3 linked regions of the Danio rerio genome follow. The protein of the gene in region 3 purifies or fractionates together with the protein of the main gene of each other region. This does not show direct contact. Links are inferred from orthologs where the notes say so. Each region holds a gene or a part of one and is shown on either strand. Other genes may lie near its edges. The genes, in order: ddb2, gnb1b and cct5.

Evidence for each region.
Region 1: the proteins of cct5 (region 3) and ddb2 purify together in Homo sapiens (co-immunoprecipitation; 3 studies listed by BioGRID and IntAct, with this or other methods). This does not show direct contact. The link is inferred for Danio rerio from reciprocal best matches to the Homo sapiens genes CCT5 and DDB2.
Region 2: the proteins of cct5 (region 3) and gnb1b purify together in Homo sapiens (co-immunoprecipitation; 3 studies listed by BioGRID and IntAct, with this or other methods). This does not show direct contact. The link is inferred for Danio rerio from reciprocal best matches to the Homo sapiens genes CCT5 and GNB1.

What each region holds. Positions count from the first base shown.
Region 1 is NC_133193.1:21,863,134-21,866,792, reverse strand, and holds part of ddb2 (DNA damage-binding protein 2), read right to left. Parts: intron 2,656-3,659; coding exon 2,478-2,655; intron 2,382-2,477; coding exon of another isoform or gene 2,364-2,381; coding exon 2,236-2,363; intron 2,155-2,235; coding exon 1,999-2,154; intron 1-1,998.
Region 2 is NC_133181.1:56,064,930-56,068,688, forward strand, and holds the start of gnb1b (guanine nucleotide binding protein (G protein), beta polypeptide 1b), read right to left. Parts: upstream 2,920-3,759; 5' UTR 2,641-2,919; intron 1-2,640. UniProt on the Homo sapiens protein: Guanine nucleotide-binding proteins (G proteins) are involved as a modulator or transducer in various transmembrane signaling systems.
Region 3 is NC_133199.1:20,773,816-20,777,557, forward strand, and holds the start of cct5 (T-complex protein 1 subunit epsilon), read left to right. Parts: upstream 1-934; 5' UTR 935-1,048; coding exon 1,049-1,153; intron 1,154-1,905; coding exon 1,906-1,966; intron 1,967-2,045; coding exon 2,046-2,210; intron 2,211-3,742. UniProt on the Homo sapiens protein: Component of the chaperonin-containing T-complex (TRiC), a molecular chaperone complex that assists the folding of actin, tubulin and other proteins upon ATP hydrolysis.

The sequences.
Region 1 (3,659 bases), on a different chromosome or scaffold from region 3:
TGCGAAATGTGTTGCACAAGCTTGCATTTCCGGTGTGATGCATTCGTGTGCGTATGAATGTAAGTCTGTGGAGAAAGTCCAGTGTGACTGCAGCTTTAGCCTGGAAACTGATTTACAATCCCAATTTCTCATCCCACAAAACCATTTTATGGAATAATGCAGACATTGAGATATTCATTCATTGTCTTGTCGGCTTAGTGGATTACTATGTCTGATGAAATCAGCTCGTAGTTATGAGACAGGTTCCAAACTATTGTCACAGTTCTGCCTAAGAGGAAAATCTATTCTTAGTAAAGAATGCAATAAGTTTGTACATCAATTGTCCCAGTCACAAAACTCAATTACACCTAGAGGAAAGTTTTTGGGGTTCTATGATTGTTAACATTCAATGGACAAACATGGTTATTATAGCCATATAAATTCTGTATTCCTAATAAAATAAAAGAGGTGCAGAATAAAACTTTTGCACAATATTTACCCATGTAATGCACTTTTATTCTAATATTGTGTTGTTACTGAGATTTGCACTTTTTGTATGAAGACATTTGTCACTTGTTTCTTTTATGCAATGTATCATCATTGTTTTGGAATGATTTAGGTGCATATTGCTTTTCCAATGTTAATATGAGTGGTAATTTTCACCTTAACGGTTATTTGTTATTTTGAAAACCAAAACAAGTTGTTAGAAGCCACGGTAAACTTTCTTATACTTGCTGGAAAATTTTATTTCCACAAACAGAGTTTTTTTTAATCACATTTTTATAGACTTCTTATGTGAAATAGAACATTTAATGAAATCACTTAGATTAATTGATAATAAGAAATGTGATTCTGTCTCGAGTAAATATGATGAGATCTTTCATGCTACTTCAATTTTTTATGTTTTTATATTGCATTATAATAATTGCATTATATTGCATATTGCAAGTTGCATGTTTTTTTATGTAATTTTTTTGGCTTTGCTCTTAATCCTGTTTATCCAATGTGAATATTGTGTAAAAGAACTGTTATCTTTTACTGTATTCTAAGTTGTATTATACGGTTACTTGAAAGAAAATAAACAAAACTGTGCAGATCACATGTTTTTTGACCTGAACGTAGCTTTACACTGAACATATCTGAATGTAGCTTTACACATAAAGATGGTTCACAGAATTAAACTGCCTTCAGATAATTAAAAGTCATTTTTAAAATGTTCTTATGCCAACATCAAAGATTCACTTGAACGTTAAATCATCAAACAGATGCCAGTTAGATCGCTCCATGCAAATACCCTAGAGCAGATGCTAGCCAATCGGGTTTACGCAACCCTGGAAAAGCAATGTGATTGGCTGTTGTTCTCTGCGAATCATAGACGTGGACATATTTTGTAAATGAACCGTGAAGCGCGCAGACACCTTGAAGAACACACTCAGTATACATATAGTTGAAGTTAGAATGATTAGTCCCCGTTTATTATTTTCCCCAATTTCTGTTTAACGGAGAATAAACAGACATTTTTTTTACGCATTTCTAAACAATAGTTTTAATTACTCATTTCTAATCACTGATTTATTATCTTATTATCTATATTATCTTTGCCATGATGACAGTAAATAATATTTGACTAGATATTTTTCAAGACACTTTTAAACAACTTAAAGTGACATTTAAAGGCTTAACTAGGGTAATTAGGTTTACTAGGCAGGTTAGGGTAATTAGGAAAGTTATTGTAAATTGAAAATGTAAAAAATGTATAGCTTAAAGGGGCTAATAATTTTGACCTTAAAATTGCTTTAAAAAAATTAAAATGCATTTATTCTAGTCAAAATAAAACTTTCTTCAGAAGAAAAAATATTATCAGACATACTGTGAACATTTCCTGGCTCTGTTAAACATCATTTGGCAAATTTATTATTATATTAATTTCAACCATTAAACAATTACATTAAAGATTCCAACATTTGAGTGGTAGCATGGTATAGTATAAATAGTTAAAAAAAACAACAGCATGCTTACAGATATGATACCAGCTGCATTGGGGTCTCTCAGCTGGTGCACAAGTCCACCACTGTTGGCATCATAAATGTCAATAGTTCTTTTATCATTGAGTAATAGTTGATCATCTGGGTAACGGCCAGCCACAATGAGGTCATACATGGGATGCCAGGTTGCCTGAAAAAATAGAAAAATGGAGCAAAGTATAACCATGATGTCAGCAGTCCTGTAAAGAAAGAAATGCATTAAATTTCTAACCTTGATGGGAGTCAAGTGCTGAAACTGCCGATGAGGATGAATAATTATTTGATCCGGTTTAGACCAGTCGTATGAACTGTACACCCTGATCTCATTCCTCTGATCAGTAGTAAGCAACTTGGTGCTGTCTGTCGGGTTGAAGTATGCTGACAAAAATAGTTCATTTGAATGTATTAGTATTTAAAGCTACTGTACAGGTGACTTTCTCCTTTCCTCACTTTTCTGATAATATGGTCCCTTACCAGCATTGACTGGTTTTTCATGAGGCATCTCAGCGATGTAACTGTTTTTGTCTTTAATATTCCGGAGGTCCCACAGCTTGACTGTAGCATCAACAGAGGATGTTGCCATCAGCCAATCACAGCGAGGGTTGAATTCGGCATGGGTCACTTTGGCTTTGTGCAGCTTCTCTTTGAAAATCTAAATATATTTTTGGGCAAAAAAATTAAAATAATTGAAAAATATAAATCAACTCTCAACAGCTGTGTTTCCCAACCCTGTTCCTTAAGGCACACCAAAAGTACCCATTTTAACCTCTTTCTAATCAAACACACCTGAATCAACTCATCAGAACATTAGAAGAGACTCCAAAACCTGAGGTTAATGGGTCAGATAAGGGAGACATCCAAAATATGTACTGTTGGTGGGCCTCCAGGAACAGGGTAGGGAAACACTGCTCTACACAATAGTAATAAAAACCTTAAAATGTCCCTGTCCCCCCATAAACATGAAACAATATAAATAATCAAATAAATAAGAGCACAAAGAATTATCTTAATAAATAACGTGCATGTTGCCATTAAAAGTAACAATAGTTTATCTTTACAACCAAAAATCTTATCAGGGATATTTAGAAAAATAGAATAATTTGATGACATATTAAGACTTTTATGGATCCAAAATACTAAGTTACAGCATCAAAATACTAATTTCATTTGCATTTTAAATATTTTATTTTGCCACCATCCTATAAATTATTAGGCCTTGTACAAAATGTATTTTAGTATAACATCTTCAGGCCATGTCAGATCACACAATTTTTATCTTCGGATATTATAGTTACTATGTCAGATTATGTGATAATTTTTCTTGATAAAATCTTGACTTGTGGTGGGTGACCAGACTACATGTTCCTTCATGATCAGTCATTCCTTGTTGTCTACATTGAGCGTTTTGTCTAAAAGCAGTCACAAGTGTGTCTATAACTATTTTTCTTTTAATCTCAATTTCAATGTTTTTATTTCAATCTCAATAAACATTGAAGATTGCTGACAACTAATAACTACATTATTTGAGGGCATTCGTTATGACATGGATAGGATCAATCTTATAATTAATTTTTACTATGAAGATATTTTCTTTAAAATCTAAAATGTATATTTTCCTGCCAGGGTTGCTTATACAACACACCCTCGCCTGAGGTT
Region 2 (3,759 bases), on a different chromosome or scaffold from region 3:
AAAAATCGGTTTATATTTCCAGAATCACAGAGTTATGGGATCAGAAAAAAATCTCTGTAAACATATTTTAGATTTTAAATAAAGAAAGTAAACATGCATTATGGATGATGAAAAAAAAAGTCTGCAAGTTTGCAGTATACAACATACTTTATAGAAATTCTATGAATTAAACAAAGCAACCCAAAAGAAACAATGCTAATTAAAAGGATAAGAGTTGTTCCTCTACAGAGCAAACATGACTTATTTTACCTTAGATTTTTGCATTTATGAGATGAAAGTTATGGATGTGGCAGATGTGAAATTGCCACTTGTGTGACTTTGCTAAATCAAATATAATAGTTTGAAAACATTGACAGAGAGATTTTTGAGTAGTGTAAGCACTGCAAAGTATTTGCCAACACCAAAAATGTAGAAACAGTTTCGTTATTTTGGTTGAAGCTTAGTTTTTTCATGACAAGGCTGACATTTACATGGAAATGCTCAAATCTCAACATGCTTGCATTAAAACACCTGCGAAAACAAATGGGCGTTAGTTTGAAAATCAAAATAGATATTCAGAATTACATTATCTGAATAGATTTCAATTATTCCATCATAATTATACACATATCAGCTTCTGAGGTGCCCACTGCGAATCAATCTGATGCTTTTAGTTATCCACAATTACAAAACTGCATGTGTATCAATGCAGATTGCACAATGTATAATGCAAATGGATTACAAGTAATGCTTCAGCAAATGTAACACTGCCGAGTAAAACATGAACAATGACTATAATAAACATGATAAGCAAAGAACCAACTTAGGTGCATAAAAAGCAGGATGTCTGGGAGGGAGTTAAAAACAACAATGTATGCAATGAATCATCCATTATGCTTTTGTTTTAAAATAAAATCAAACAAAAGTGCATTATCTAAACACAAAAGGGTATTGTGAGAGCTTATGTGCATGACTGCAAAGAAATGTCTACATTTATAGCACCAGAAGCACAAGTTGAAATCAACAAAATGTGAACGATCACGTCACGGTGGACTCGAAACACTATTTGATATTTCACAATTGCATTTCGCGTCATAAAGGATGAGGTTATGCAGCTTTAGGTGCCACACAAAGAGCATTTTATTTAAAAAAAAACGATAAACTCTAGCTTCAAAATATGTTCCTGGAATCGTTTTTAAAACAACGAGCTTCGTTTAAGAGCAAAACGGTGCTTTTTTCGGCGTTTCAGCGGGTTAAATGAACGGCATGCTGATATGAGTGCGGAGAGGGAAGCCGGAGAGAGAGGCTACGGACGCCATCTTGTTCTTGGGCCCCACATTGAAGAATTCATTGATTCCGTTTATTTATTCATGAACGGTGTTCCTTTATCTAAATGCCAGCGAAGAGAAAGGCAAACTCGATCGGTAGGGGAAAAAAGAAGGAGGGGGCGCAACATATTTATCCCATAGCCTATATTTCCCCGACCAATCCCTTAATAGTGACCTCAATACTGAGCCGCTAGCCCGTTCTTAAAATATTCCAGCAGCGATGATAAAGGCCATCCGGCTCCATTCATTTCGCGTATCTGAAGAACTGCAAAGCTCTTTGCTGCATTACTCTGATACACGATCGCAGGAGAAAACACATCTAGCAGGTCTTTTATTCTTTATCGTCAGCAAAAGCAATTCAGCGAGAATCGTAGCGGAGCATCACCGAGATGTCGCGAAGAGAGGCAGTGCACCTATATACCTGAACAGCAAAGGCCCTTTAAACACAGGCTTAATGAAATCCAATTAGGTTGTTTAAAAGAGTAGTTAAAAGAAGCAGCGCACACTTAACGCAATAAACATTAACACGAGCTAAGTCGCTTAAATGCACACGGGATTTCGGATTACGCCATTCTGACTCGTAATAAATCCATCTCCATGTAAATGTGTGTAGGGGAAAACACACTAGGACGGCTTGTAATATACAGCCAGATGGTGTAGATTGCAATAGACGATCGGGTGAACAAATAAATGGCTAATCTTTATTTACCGACTGCATTTCGATCAATATTCACTTGTAGTACACGAGAGTGTGTAAACCAGCATTTGCCTAACCAAAAATCCTCGATTCTGTAACACAGAGGAAGGCCTAGCTGAGCTGAAAAGCCGAATATTTTGCCAGCAGAAGCTCCGGTAATTAGCCTGTTAGCTTACAGACCAGCCTCCAACCAAAACCCCCCAAACTTAACATTTAAAGCAATCTTAATTGCTATTAAAATGCCCCTATCAAGCACATTACTGAATTCCCCCAAACCTAAATTGGTTTAATTCTGAAGTAACGCCGATTTTTGGGTGCTAACAAGCGAACTCGCACTAAACGGCCTCCGGTTAAGTCGGCCGACTCAGTTCACGCCATAATGACCGAGCGAGAGATTAAATGCACTATAAATTCACATTAATAAAACACACACGATGATAACTGTTTAAAACAACCGTTTTTCGCATATTTGCCTGCCACTGTTGTGTATGTAAATCGCTCGGCTAGCCGCTACCTGCGCCTCACCCCACCCCCCTTCATTCTCTATGGTGACCAGCATTTTATCCAACAAATTCACCCGATTAGAACGAAACATTCAGTTCCACACACTTGAAATAAGCACATAGTGTTCCATACCTGTTCTCAGTCGTAAATGGCCTTTGTTTATATGGCATTGACCGAAAAAAACGATGGTGTGGCTGTCAAATCCACGCATCAACGAACAAGACGAGCTAGCTCGCTAACTAGCAGCGGGAGAAGTACCGAGTCCACTTCCACAGCGACAAAACTCGCTCCGGCGGGCGGGAAATGAGCCTGTACGAGGGGGGATCTCAACTGCGAGGAAAAGCTGCACTCATAAATGTCCGATTGGAGACTTTGGTCAGCTAATAAGTCCGTCGGTGGCCACTTCCCGTTGCCTTCCTTGAAGGAACACTTCTCTCCAGTTCAGTTCACCTCTCATCCGGCCATCAGACGGAGATGGGCGCGGTAACCCTGCAGTCTGCCCTGGGAAACCCCACGCCGCAGCGCACGGGCGAGCGGCGCTCTTACGCAGGAATGGAATTGACAGAAACATTTCCAAGCCAATTTAGCAAGATTTGAATACACTGATGTACTTTTTAAAATGCTTAACGTTTTTAAAAATATTATACAACCCATATTCCATTAATAGATTAACCTGAGCAAAGACTTTATGGAGAAGACCGAGGCTTTGTCACAATTTACTACAGAACAGGTTTTTCTCTATAGGTTTAGCTGTACTTTGTTTGAAGTGAGATTTTGATATAGGCACAAGTGCAAATTTAGAGATTTATAATAATAATTATATTAACAAAATCATTTGAGAAAAGTATTGTTTGCTAATTCTGAATAGTTAAATCATATTCGCAGCCAATGACTATCAAAGTAGTCCAACAGTGTTGATGTTAATAGTGCTAATGTTGTTTTGAGAAATCGTGTAGGGGACTTATATAATTACAGTGAATTTATTAACACTTTTGGTTTAAAAAAATACTTTGAATAAATACAAAAAAAAATGTGTTCATTGTATCTCCCTAAAATAAATGTACCTTATTAAAACCACAAAAATATATAACCATGTATCTGGCTCTCTTCCAGAGCTTACTATTAAGGGCCTCTCTATCATGGATAAAAAACTGAATAACAATTATATCAGGAAAATCCTGACTGCAGATAAAAGTGTTCCTCTAATAGCAATGGTTAAATGGAAACAAGCATTCCCTTCATTCTTTTCCC
Region 3 (3,742 bases):
ATTATTATTCAATAAAATATATTATTCAAAACATAAATAAATTCCAAAAGAAGGTTGCATAGCATATGATCATTTATGTTCAATTAACCTTTTTTTTCATTGAAATGTTTATTTATGAGCTTCGTTTTTTTAAAGGAACCTCTGTATTTACATTTTGTGATTGTGAGAAGTTCTTTTAGTTTATTACACGTATGTACTGTATGATATAATGAAACAATTTACTTTAAATATGACCTAATCTGTGTACGTTTGTAATGTAAAAAGAATCATTATAATATACAGGTGCAAACGGAAATCAAGCAACCCTGATCATGTGAATGTTGCATAAGTTTTATAAGAGATATCCAAAAAGATATCAAAACAAGCTGTAGCTTCACCAAGTCTAACTTTAAAGTCATGTAGACCTCACAAAGACACTTCAAAAACAAATGTCGGTCACAAATGTAAAACGTAAATGATGGAGAGAGAAAAAAGTCACCTTGCTTTTGCAAATAACAACACAAACAGCCTCTTCGGTCATGTAACATACTGAAATCCACACTGGTGTGCTGTCAGAAGCATGAACGGGAGGAACAGGTAATCGGAAATTACGTTACCAACGACGAGCACATGGCCTTTCTCAAATACACAAGTTGTACGTGTGCACATACACAAATCAATTTTGTAACGTCTATTTGTTAGTCAATCTGCATGAATTATAAATCTGTACCCGCACTCGCGTTATTTGTTGTCGTTATCGCGAGAATGGAATAAACCATTAATATGCTTCAATTTAAAAAAATTATTTAAAGATTCGTTAATTGCTTTTTCTCCTTCATAATTGTCTTAAATGTTTAATATTGTTATTTAATTAGGGATTAAATGGTAATGTAATGTACAAAAATGTGGATGTTTTAACATTGTCAACTTGGTTTGGTCCGTCCCTCCCCGAGATTCTTCCAGAACTAGCCGGCAGATCCGCGCGGTGAGGTGCGCAGCTAGAGGATTAAATTCTCTAGTATAACATCACTTTTCATAACTGTGCATTTCTTTGGGGTGGAAATTAAACATGTCCGCGCTTGGGACTCTCGCCTTCGATGAATATGGAAGGCCTTTCATCATCATAAAGGACCAGGACAAGAAATCTCGCTTGACTGGCCTGGAAGCACTGAAGGTAACGTTACAAAAGCTAACGGGCTAATGGGCTATAACGGAGATTTTAATCATATCTGTAATCCAGAATACCGCATTTACTGTATACTGTAGATTGATTCTTTATGAAAACGTACTTCTGCAGTCTGACATGTTAAGAATGCATTCAGTTATTGCACATTTATTTGTCTAACGTGATCAACAATGTGCGCATGTCAAGGGATGGTCCATGTGCTTCCTCTAGTCTAGTCTAAAGACGTCGAGTCATAATGCGCAATGCCTTCATTCATTCATCAGACATGTCTTCATCACATTTTATTTGTGGCAATATACTTCAGTTGAATGTTGTTAATAAATAAGTAATGATGATAGCTATCACTCTACTTCCCCCAATTGTTTGATTGCATAAAGAATTGCAAAAAGCCAAACTTTTCTAAACGGACAGGTGCATGTTTTTGTTGTGTTTTTTGGGGGCTTGCAGTGTCTTGCCTTGTTTTATAATGATAGTTTCAGTTCTATTATTTGACAAAAATCCTATAAAGAGGATTGGGTTGTTATTTGAGACACGCCTTACTAACAAATTTTTAGTTTATATATACATACATACATATACATTAAATTTATATAAGATATTCTACCAGAAATGCACATTATCTTTCCCTTAAAACCGTAAATTGCCATTCTTGCCTACCCATTTGAGCCTCCCAAGCCCAAAACCAAGCATAAGCTTGGCGTGGCATCTACTGACATCAATGTTATTTCTGTTCTCTTCAGTCTCACATTCTTGCAGCAAAAGCAGTTGCTAACACCCTGAGAACATCGCTAGGTCCAAATGGTATGTTTTTAATTTTGCATGTACTCTTCCTAGTTTATTTCATGCTGTTTTTTTTAATGCTGGTAAATGTTCTTTACAGGACTTGACAAGATGATGGTGGATAAGGATGGTGAGGTGACCGTGACCAATGATGGTGCGACGATCCTCAGCATGATGGATGTGGACCATCAGATTGCCAAGCTCATGGTTGAGCTCTCCAAGTCTCAAGATGATGAAATTGGAGATGGAACCACTGGTGTTGTTGGTGAGCTTAGCTTGATATTCTTCTTCTCCCCTTTTAAAACACAACCACAACACTAGCAAGAGCATTTTCTTTCTGTCTTTGTTTAAATGCATTGATTTGCTCGTATATAAACATGGATAAATGTACAGCCTTACAAATACATTGAAATGCACATTAGAAAAAATTTAAAAATCCTCTTTTCCAAGCTGTGTGTACATTTTATGTGCCATTACAAAAATGAGCATGTGTGCATACTGTTCTGGAGATGATATGCTATGGGAAATGACCCAGCTTATACAAAATCTAATAATAAAAGGTCCTTTTACAGATCTAAGTATGATATATATGCTTTACTTTAATATGATATATGGATGCTATTTACAATATTTATACTTTATGTACAATATACAGCTGAAGTCAGAATTATTAGTTCCCCTGAATTATTAGCCCCCCTGTTTATTTTTTTGCCCAATTTTTGTTTAACAGAGATAAAATTTCTAACACCACAATTTCTAACAAATCTCTAACACATTTCTAAACAATAGTTTTAATAACTCAATTCTAATAACGGATTTATTTTATCTTTGCCATGATGACAGTAAATAATATTATACTAGATATTTTTCAAGACACTTCTGTACAGCTTAAAGTGACATTTAAATGCTTAACTTGGTTAATTAGGTTAACTAGGCAGGTTAGGGTAATTAAGCAAGTTAGTGTATAATGATGGTTTGTTCTGTAGAGTATTAAAACAAAATATAGCTTTAAGGGGCTAATAATATTGACCTTAAAATATTTTTTTTTTAATTAAAAACTGTTTTTATCCTAGCCGAAATAAATCAAACATGACTTTCTCCAAAAGAAAAAAATATCAAACACTGAAAATTTCCTTGCTCTGTTCATCATTTAGTAAATAGAAAAAAAAAAGAAAAATTCAAAGGGGGGCTAATGATTCTGACTTCATATCTGAATATTATAGTAAAGCATATACAGTTAATCATTTCTTGTCAGGCTTCTAAAACTGCTAAACATTTTTCTAGACTGGACACTTTAATGGGGGAAAATGTTCTAAGATATAAATGTCACCCTAATTATTTTTTAATGAATTATTCTTACTTGTTTTGTGTTTACTCGTTATAGCATGAAGGACTTTAGTAATTAAATTAGTACAAGGCTAAATTGAATGTATAAGTAGGTGTATGTAGGTTTATACGCAAGACGTACTGTTTTGCTGTTTGAATTAAATTGTCAAGTAATTGATAAAAACCACTGGTGAAATAATATTGTAATCTTACTCCATATAGTGGAGAATGAAAAAATCATATTTAATGTTTTGTTTTCTCTTATTGCTGCATGTAGTTGTCAATATGTAATATGTTACTTTTATTACTGTTACTGATGTGACAAGAAATAAATCTTAAATAATGGTAAAAAAAAAAAAATAAAAACAATAAAATTGAGCAGGGTACATTTAAATGTAGAGAGAAAGAACAATTTAAAGCTGTATCACACTTTTACTATTGTAATGCTTGACATGTTGATTTCATGCAGGC